Macaca mulatta: one gene and its partner. The protein of the gene in region 2 purifies or fractionates together with the protein of the main gene of each other region. This does not show direct contact. Links are inferred from orthologs where the notes say so. Each region holds a gene or a part of one and is shown on either strand. Other genes may lie near its edges.

The links.
Region 1: the proteins of SOD1 (region 2) and TKT purify together in Homo sapiens (affinity purification with mass spectrometry; 3 studies listed by BioGRID, with this or other methods). This does not show direct contact. The link is inferred for Macaca mulatta from reciprocal best matches to the Homo sapiens genes SOD1 and TKT.

Annotation. Positions count from the first base shown.
Region 1 is NC_133407.1:116,824,491-116,828,292, forward strand, and holds part of TKT (transketolase), read right to left. Parts: intron 2,651-3,802; coding exon 2,533-2,650; exon of another isoform or gene 2,498-2,532; intron 1,697-2,497; exon of another isoform or gene 1,671-1,696; coding exon of another isoform or gene 1,653-1,670; coding exon 1,539-1,652; intron 755-1,538; coding exon 657-754; coding exon of another isoform or gene 626-656; intron 1-625. UniProt on the Homo sapiens protein: Catalyzes the transfer of a two-carbon ketol group from a ketose donor to an aldose acceptor, via a covalent intermediate with the cofactor thiamine pyrophosphate.
Region 2 is NC_133408.1:15,681,582-15,686,001, reverse strand, and holds the start of SOD1 (superoxide dismutase [Cu-Zn]), read left to right. Parts: upstream 1-1,370; coding exon 1,371-1,442; intron 1,443-4,420. UniProt on the Homo sapiens protein: Destroys radicals which are normally produced within the cells and which are toxic to biological systems.

The DNA of each region.
Region 1 (3,802 bases), on a different chromosome or scaffold from region 2:
CCATATCTGACCGTCACAGACTAACTTATGGCTAGAACCTTCCTTGGGGGCCACGGGGGGCTGCTCCTACCGATCACCTGGTGGGCACTGGAGCAGCACACCTTTCTAGTCAGGCTTACCACCCACCCTCTGGAGGCCCAATCTCTCAAATGTTTGTTTCTTCCCTGCTGACAGGAGGTGGCTTACAGGTATCCCAGAACCCCCCAGAACATACAACTCTCCCCTTTACCAAGATAAAGGCAAGCGGCTCAGGCCTGGGCTCCTGGTGCCTAGTGAGACAGGCGCCTGGGGGTAGGTCTTTCTGAGACTTCTGGGGTCTGGGCACAGGGCTGGGGGCAAAACAGGAAGTCCTCAGCCTAAGCACTCTGGCTGAAGAGCACATGATTGGGAGCATGCACTCTGTGCAAACCCAGCCCTGCCAGTCACTGCTGACCCAGGGCACGTCCCTTAACTCCTGAGTGTTTCCTCATTTGTAAAGGGGGCCGGTCATGGCACCAGCCATAGCAGATGTTTAAAGAGCAAAAGAGGCCACGCGTATGTATTACTCTGCCCTAGCCAGGAAAGAGGAAGAGTCTGGGGGCGGCAGTGAAGGGTGGGTCACCCAAGGACCACTCCCCAAAACTACCCAGGGTGGGGGTGGGGAGTAGGCATGTTACCTGGCCTTGTCGAAGTATTTGCCGGTGTAGGCCATCCCACAAGCGGCCCCAAGGCCCTGGCCCAGGGAGCCAGTGGCCACATCGGTGAAAGCTTGTTTCTGTCATAACAGAAGGCCACAGTTAATCTGAGAGGAGAAGGGATCCTGGTCTCACCCGCCCCTGGAGCCACACTCCCACCCAGCCCAGCGAGCCCCTCCCCTGCAGGTCACGCCCCAGGGCAGCCTCTACCCAGCATGTGACTTCTTCTGCTAATGAACTAATTATAGTTGTAGGTTCAAATCCCAGCCCTGCCCACTAGCCAGCTACGTGGCCTTAGGCCTCAGGCCGGGGGCTGAACCTCTGTGAGCCTCAGTTCCCACATCACCCACTTCACAAAGGGCTGGGAGAGGGAATCATGAAAAAATTGACATAGAACATGTGGCCCTTGTGGGGACCCAGACCACATGACAGTTTTTGTGGTAATCCCTGAAGTCTTAACATTTGCAGGGATGCCAGTTGGCACCCCAAGGAACAAACCGGGTTCCCTCCCCAGAGCGTCACCAGCATCCTAGAGCCACCCCCTTAGAAGAGAGCCCCTTTTCTTCCCAAGCTGTAGCTACCCAGCCAAGGAGGCCCAGCACAGAAGGAAGCTTGGGGAGAGGCCCTCCCTGAAGTCATCCCAGGGCACCCTGGCTGAGGCCTCAGAAGGCCTTCCCCTTTGGCACCAGCTTGGGGTGAATACATGCGCCCAAAACACCTGCTTCGTTCCTTCCTCGTCTCAGTGCCCTCCTCCGCCTTTCAATACCTTTGGCTTCTCAGTGGGCACCCCCTGCCCTGGTCCCGCATGTCTGGGAAACAGGAAGCGGAGGCAGAGGCATGAGAGGCTCTGGCAGGAGCACTTACGGGGACCGGGTGCCCATCCAAGTCGGAGCTGATCTTCCTCAGGTTGAGCAGCTCCGCCTCGGGCAGGAAGCCAGCTTCAGCCCAGACCGCGTACAGGATGGGAGCTGCATGGCCCTGCCGGGAGATGGACATGGGGTGAGGTCAGGTGGGGAGCGGTTCTACTTGGGGCTGTGCCTACTGCACACTGACCCCTGGGGCCTGGCTGAGTCGGCCAACTGCAGCATCCATTTCAGGGGAGGAAGCAAGTGAAGGCCACTTCTCCCCTTTCAGCCCTCTTCAGCCTCTTGGTTTTCAGCCCAAAGTTCCCACTGCCAAGGCTGGGCAGGCACTAAGACAGGTGCAGGGGGCACAGCTGTGAGGCTGGACAAAGCCAAAACCCCAGCAGGCAGCCGGCTGCCCTAATCCCTGGTTTCTGGCATGGGAACAACTTGGACAGACTTCTAAGCTCTAAAGCCTGCCCTGAGAGACCAGACGCCACAGAGGCAGGCCTGAGCACAGGTGGATTTCAGGGGTCTGTGGCTGTGATTCCACCCAGTAGGGGCGGGTCAGGGGGGTCCCCATCCAAAACCCTGCTACAGCATACCACTACCCCTGAGGGGGGCAAGCTGTGGCCTCGGGAGCGCTGGCACAACACAGAAAGAGCAGGCAGAGAGTCACAACCCAGACCAAGATGCCAGTCCTGCCTGTCAACACCCAGACTGGGCAGAACACACAACAGACGTTCCCGTAGTCCCCTACTCCATTTCTTTGGGTTAAAGCGTTGTTCATGTACCTGGGCTCCATGGCAGAGCAACCCATCAATTCAGTCCTGTATTCCTTAGCCAGCTGGGTCAGCAGAGCAGGACACTGAGGGAGGGGCCAGGACGAGCAGGGAGAAGGCACCTGGGAGAGGTGGGCCCAGCCAGACCTCCTCAGAGACCACTCACCATTCCAGAGCCCGTGTGACCCTAGTCCCAGGCAAGGTGTGGCTGGCGGTGGGCAGCTGGGCTCTTACCTTGGAGAGCACAAAGCGGTCATTGTGTGGGTTCCGGGGGTCCTGGGACTTGTAGCGCATGGTGTGGAAAAAGAGGACAGCCATGATCTCTGCGGCGCTGCAGCATGACGTAGGGTGGCTGTGGCCCAGGAGAGAAGACAGACACATGCATCACGGCCCTGCACTCCTGAGCTATCGTGCTCAGCTGTGTAGGGACCCGGGGGGTGCATGTCCCGAGGAGTCACACAGGCCTGGCTTATCAGACAGCCATGCGCTCTTGTTCCCTGGGAGGGTGACACAGGATCTCAAGAAAGCCACTGCTGGCAGCTTGGAGCCTGGGCCAGCTGGTGGGGGTGCTGGGGACTGTTGCACCTTCCCAGGGGCACCAGATCCTCAGAATCATGGCAACTGAAAATATCTGGGTTGGACTTGAGTAAGAAGGAAGGAGGGGCCCAGGAGAGATCCAGCACAGAAGACGCAGCCCAAGACTAGCACCGAGGCGGCGGGCAGCTGCTGTCGGGCAGGGCCTAGCTCCCACCTGGTGGTCCTCAGGAGTCTAATGACTCAGCAGCTGAGGGGCGCCGGCACTCCTACAACTGACCCCACATCCCGACGGGACTGCCCGGACCCTGCCCACTTGTGAAGGGCACCCTGCCCTCTCAGCACCCAGGGGTCTCTGAGCGCATGGAGCAGGGAGGAAGGGACTGAGGCTCATGGAGTTACCACAGACCTCCCAGCAGCCTCCACACACCAGGTGTGGTAGCCTGAAAAATTGGGCCTTGGGCTTTCCAATTGCATCACCTGGGCTACTTGAAAGCTTTAGAAATGGGCAGTTTGAGGGCTGTGTAGCAACTAGGAAACAGGCTTTTGTGCAGAATTTTCAGAGCAAGACACACAATCTCATCTTCTACACGGCTACAATCATGTATTAATAAAAACCCCTTCTGCCTATAGACAGGGGCTGAGGTGGGGCTGAAAAGCAAGAACCTGCCGTCCAGCCTGGGAGTGTTGGGTCCACGGAGTCCCCTTGGCTTTTTAGACTCTCACTTTAATCACTGAGCGGCTGCTGAGCAATAGAAAGTGCAAAAATCACATCTTAGAGATGGGACTCATTCAGGTCTTTTAAGACCCATGTGAATAATCCACAAGCCAGCCCCCTGCCTGGGAAAGGGGCTAGAGGCTGCACTTCCTGCTGGGAAGCTGCAGGTCCTGGTCAGCCCTGAAGCCCTCTGGTCCTAGGGCTTTGTTAACAGTTCAGCCTCCGGGCACAGGCCTCCCGGGAGAGCCTCTC
Region 2 (4,420 bases):
GAGGATGCATTAGAGTCTGAGGGTCTAAATAACATAAATAATAAATAAGTAAATAAATAGATAGTAGTGTACTCCAAACGAGGCTGGAATAGCTTCTATCGTTGTTTCACGCTGGACTTGAATTAAGTCTGAGTATTTTGCCATGCTCAGTACGAAATACTAGGCTGGACGTGGTGGCTTATGTCTGTAATCCCAGCACTTTGGGAGGCCGAGGTGGGCAGACTGGCTTGAGCTCAAGAGTTTGAAACCAGCCTGGGCAACATGGTAAAACCCCATCTCTACCCAAAATACAAAAATCAGCCAGGTGTGGTGCCACATGCCTGTGGTCTCAGGTACTTGGGAGGCTGAGGCAGCAGGATGACTTTTGAACCCAGGAGGTCGAGGCTGCAGTGAGCTATGATCGTGCCACTGCACTCCAGCCTGGGTGACAGAGCAATACCCTGTCTCAAAAATCAAATAAACAACCCCTTCGCCCCGGACTAAAGTAGTTTGTACTATTTTCTCATTTCATCAAAGTTTTTGAAATATTTCCCTTGAAAGGTAAGTCATATTTATCATTCCTGTTGTATGGAGACATCACAAATTATTTCACCATTCTACCCTCCTTGAGTGTTGTGGCCTTGGGGCCAGGCAAAAACGCAGGAGATGCCTAGAAGCCAACTAGTTGCCGTTTTGGTTATCTGTGGGGTTGTAGCGTTGCCAAACAGGAAAAATATAAAAAGAATACCGAATTCTGCCAACCAAATAAGAAACTATGTGCTAAGGACTAAAACAACTGCAGGGGAAGAAAAGGTGAGGCCAGGGATTGAGGTGTAGCGACTTTCTATGCCCTCAGAAAATTAAAAAACAAGACAAAAAAAAAAAAAAGAAAACTACAAAAGCATCCATCTTGGGCCGTCCTAATTTCTGAGTAACAAATGAGATGCTGTGGCGAAAGTCAGTCATAACCAATGACATTTCTAGACAAAGTGACTTCAGATTTTCAAGGCGTACCTTGTTTACATCATTTTGCCAATTTCGCGTCCTGCAACCGTCGGGCCACGCCCCCGTGAAAAAAAGGCTGTGTTTTTTTCCACATTTCGGGGTTCTGGACCTTTCCCGGCTGCGGGGCGGGGGGAAGTCTGAGGCGCACGCGGCCCCTTGGCCCCGCCCCCAGTCATTTCCTGCCACTCGCGTCCCGAGGCTGCCGCAGGGGGCGGGCTGAGCGCGTGCGCTGTGACTGGTTTGGGGCCAGAGTGGGCGGGGCGCGGAGGTCCGGCCTATAAAGTAGTCGCGGCGCCGTGGTACCGCTTTGCGGCGTAGTCTCCTGCAGCGTTTGCGGTCAGTCTCGCAATATTCGGAAGCAGGACCGCGGCGTGGCCTAGCAAGTCATGGCGATGAAGGCCGTGTGCGTGTTGAAGGGCGACAGCCCAGTGCAGGGCACCATCAATTTCGAGCAGAAGGCAAGGGCCGGGGCGGAGGCTTGTTTGCGAGGCCGCTCCCGCCCGCTCGTCGCCCCGAGCACCTGTGCTAGGAGCGGGTGGCCAGCCAGGCCTCGGGACCGCCCTGGTCCCGCGCCCGGCCTCGGCCCGTGCCGCCCGGTCGGTGCCTTTGCCCCCAGCGGTGCGGTGCCGGCTAAGTGCTGAGTCATCGGGCGGGCCCGGGTGCGGGGTGTGGGACCGAGGCCGCCGCGGGGCTGGGCCTGCGCGTGGCGGGAGCGCGGGGAGGGATTGCCGCGGGGGCGGGCGTGGGCGTGCTGCCCTCCGGGGTCCGTGGGCGGCCGCCGCGGGCTCTGTCGTGGTGCTTGGAGCAGCTGTGCTCCTCCCTTGCTTGGCTGTGTTCTCGTTCCTGAGGGTCCCGCGGACACCGAGTGGCGCAGTGACAGGCCCGGCCCGGGGTGGCGACTGCGCCTGGGCCCGGCTGGTGTCTTAGCATCCCTCTCCGCGTTCCGGCTTCAGCGCTCTGGGTCAGGGAGTCTCCGCTTTTGTACAGCTCTAAGGCTAAGTATGGTTTTTATATTTTTAAAAGGCTTTGGTAAACAAAAATACGCAACAGAGACCGTTTGTGTGACACTTTGCAGGAGTTTGTTGGCCTCTGTTCTAGGTCATGGTTGGGCTGCAAGGGCAGAGAAGGTAGCCTTGGATAGAGGTCCTTTTCCTCCTCCTAAGCTCCGAGAGCCAGAGTTTTAACTGACCGTTTTGGGGACTTTCGAGGGCAATGATTCTTAACTTTGGGTGCACAATTAGCTTATTTGAAGATCTTACTAAAAATACACCAGAGCCCAACCTCAGACCAATTACATCAAAACCTGTCCCAGCGCAGGTGATTATTGCTGTTTTTTAAGTTTCCAAATGTGATTTTGATGTGCACCTACGATTGAGGACTGTTGTTTGAGGACAGTGGGTGCGGTTTGGGATTTGGAAATTGGGAAGACCTGAAGTTTCCATTACACGGAATTGGTACTTAGTAACTCTTGTCGGAGCATTTCTTAAGCCACATTTTCTGTGAAGTGGCTTTAAAATTGCTCTGCCAGTAGGCAGGTTGCTAAGATGGTCAGAGACAAACTTCTGAACGACTCTTGTAAAATGTAGTACAGAAATATTTTCATAACTATTATCAGTAAAATTGCAAAACGTCTTGCAAGGAAGGTGCTTGTGATAACACTGTCCCCAGAGCCTTAGTGAAGTTACCAACTGGTGGAAAATTGTCTGGTACTCGGCTTAAAAGTCATGAGAGAATATTTATCATATGAATGAGATTCAGTCTTTAAAGGGGTTTACAGAAAGGTGAGAGGACAGGAACAGTTAGTCTGTGCAAGTGTCTGAAATGTGTATGAGGGAGATACGAGTTTAGCTTTTTTCTTTAATACGTCTCCAGATTTTCTGGAAAAGGTTCTTTGGCATTTGACTCCATTTTGCTATTTCATTTGTCAGACTTCGTTTTGTCCCTCTTTACTTATTCCCACATAATTCACTAGTACTAGTGCTGTGTTTTGTTTCTGAGACCGAGTCTTGCTCTCTTGCCCAGGCTGGAGTGCAGTGGCGCGATCTCGGCTCACTGCAACCTCCGCTTCCTGGGTTCAAGCAATTCTCCTGCCTCAGGCTCCCGGGTAGCTGGGATTACAGGCGCGTGCCACCACGCCCAGCTAATTTTTTGTATTTTAGTAGGGACCGGGTTTCACCATGTTGGCCAGGATGGTCACGATCTCTTGACCTGGTGATCCACCCGCCTCGGCTTCCCAGAGTGGTGGGATTACAGGCGTGAGCCACCGCGCCCGGCCACCAGTACTAGTCTTAAGACGCCTCTGTGGAATTCCTTCTCCCTGGCCTTTGAGAGTCCATGCATGAACCCAGGTTTCTGTCATTTTCCACCTTCCCTGAGCAGCGAGCATAGTTCCTTCTTTTAAGCGCCTGACTTCGTTTTGGTTGGTGCCCCTTGTACCTGAGAAAGAGCCTTGGATAGTGGAGCATTCCAGCTTTCCAGATATGCAGAGATAATAAATTGGCTATAAACTACCTGGCGTGGCCTATTCCGTGTTTAAAATCTTAGACTCGTGGCTAGTTTTTACAAATCAGAATCTTTCACCTAATAGTCCAGTTTTCCTAGCTTCTCTTGAAGAATTGTTGGAGATCTCTTCATACTGAGCCTTCATTAGCCCAGGACAGTACTGCTGGAGCTTTCCAGGCCTGTGTTACTCACTTGAGTTCACAGCCTGGTCCCTGTAGGGTTGTACCTAAGCACAGCTACTTACATGTTCCCAATGTATTACCCGTTAAATGGAGGTTTGAAAGAACCTCCTCTTTTTGGCCCTGTGCTCTTGATAACACAGCATATTTGAGGGACAACTTTCACATTTGAGTTTTTCCAAAATTAGAGGTTGTAGAAGAGTCACAGTGTCTATTCTGAAAAAGAAAAGAATTTTTTAAAGGCCGCAATTGCCAGAATCCTTCGTTTGAGCAGTGGTATTTTCCAGTGGAAAGTCATGTCTTAAGGGTTAATGCCCCTTAACTGTTGTCCCTCTTTGAAAACCAAGCTAAAAACAAGAGACACAAACATGTATGACGGTGTGGTGTGGATGCTGTGTTTATTTTAGTCCTGAGATCTACTCGTAACGTCCTTGATTTCTGTATGTAGCCACGGAGCACCATTACCTGTCACCATTGCCTGAATGGCGATACTGCTTGCTTTCTTTTTGGTAGAGTGGAAAGGTTATCTAGGTTTCAGTGCTTGAAAAGATTTCAGAAAACAGTAGTACCTCTGGTTAGACTAGAATCAGTCCTCTCCTGAGGGCAGTGAAATAGGATATTTTCTGACTGCTAATTAAAAATACCTATGATAGCCGGACGTGGTGGCTCACGCCTGTAATCCCAGCAGTTTGGGAGGCGGAAGGGGCGGATCACGAGGTCATGAGATCGAGACCATCCTGGCTAACACGGTGAAA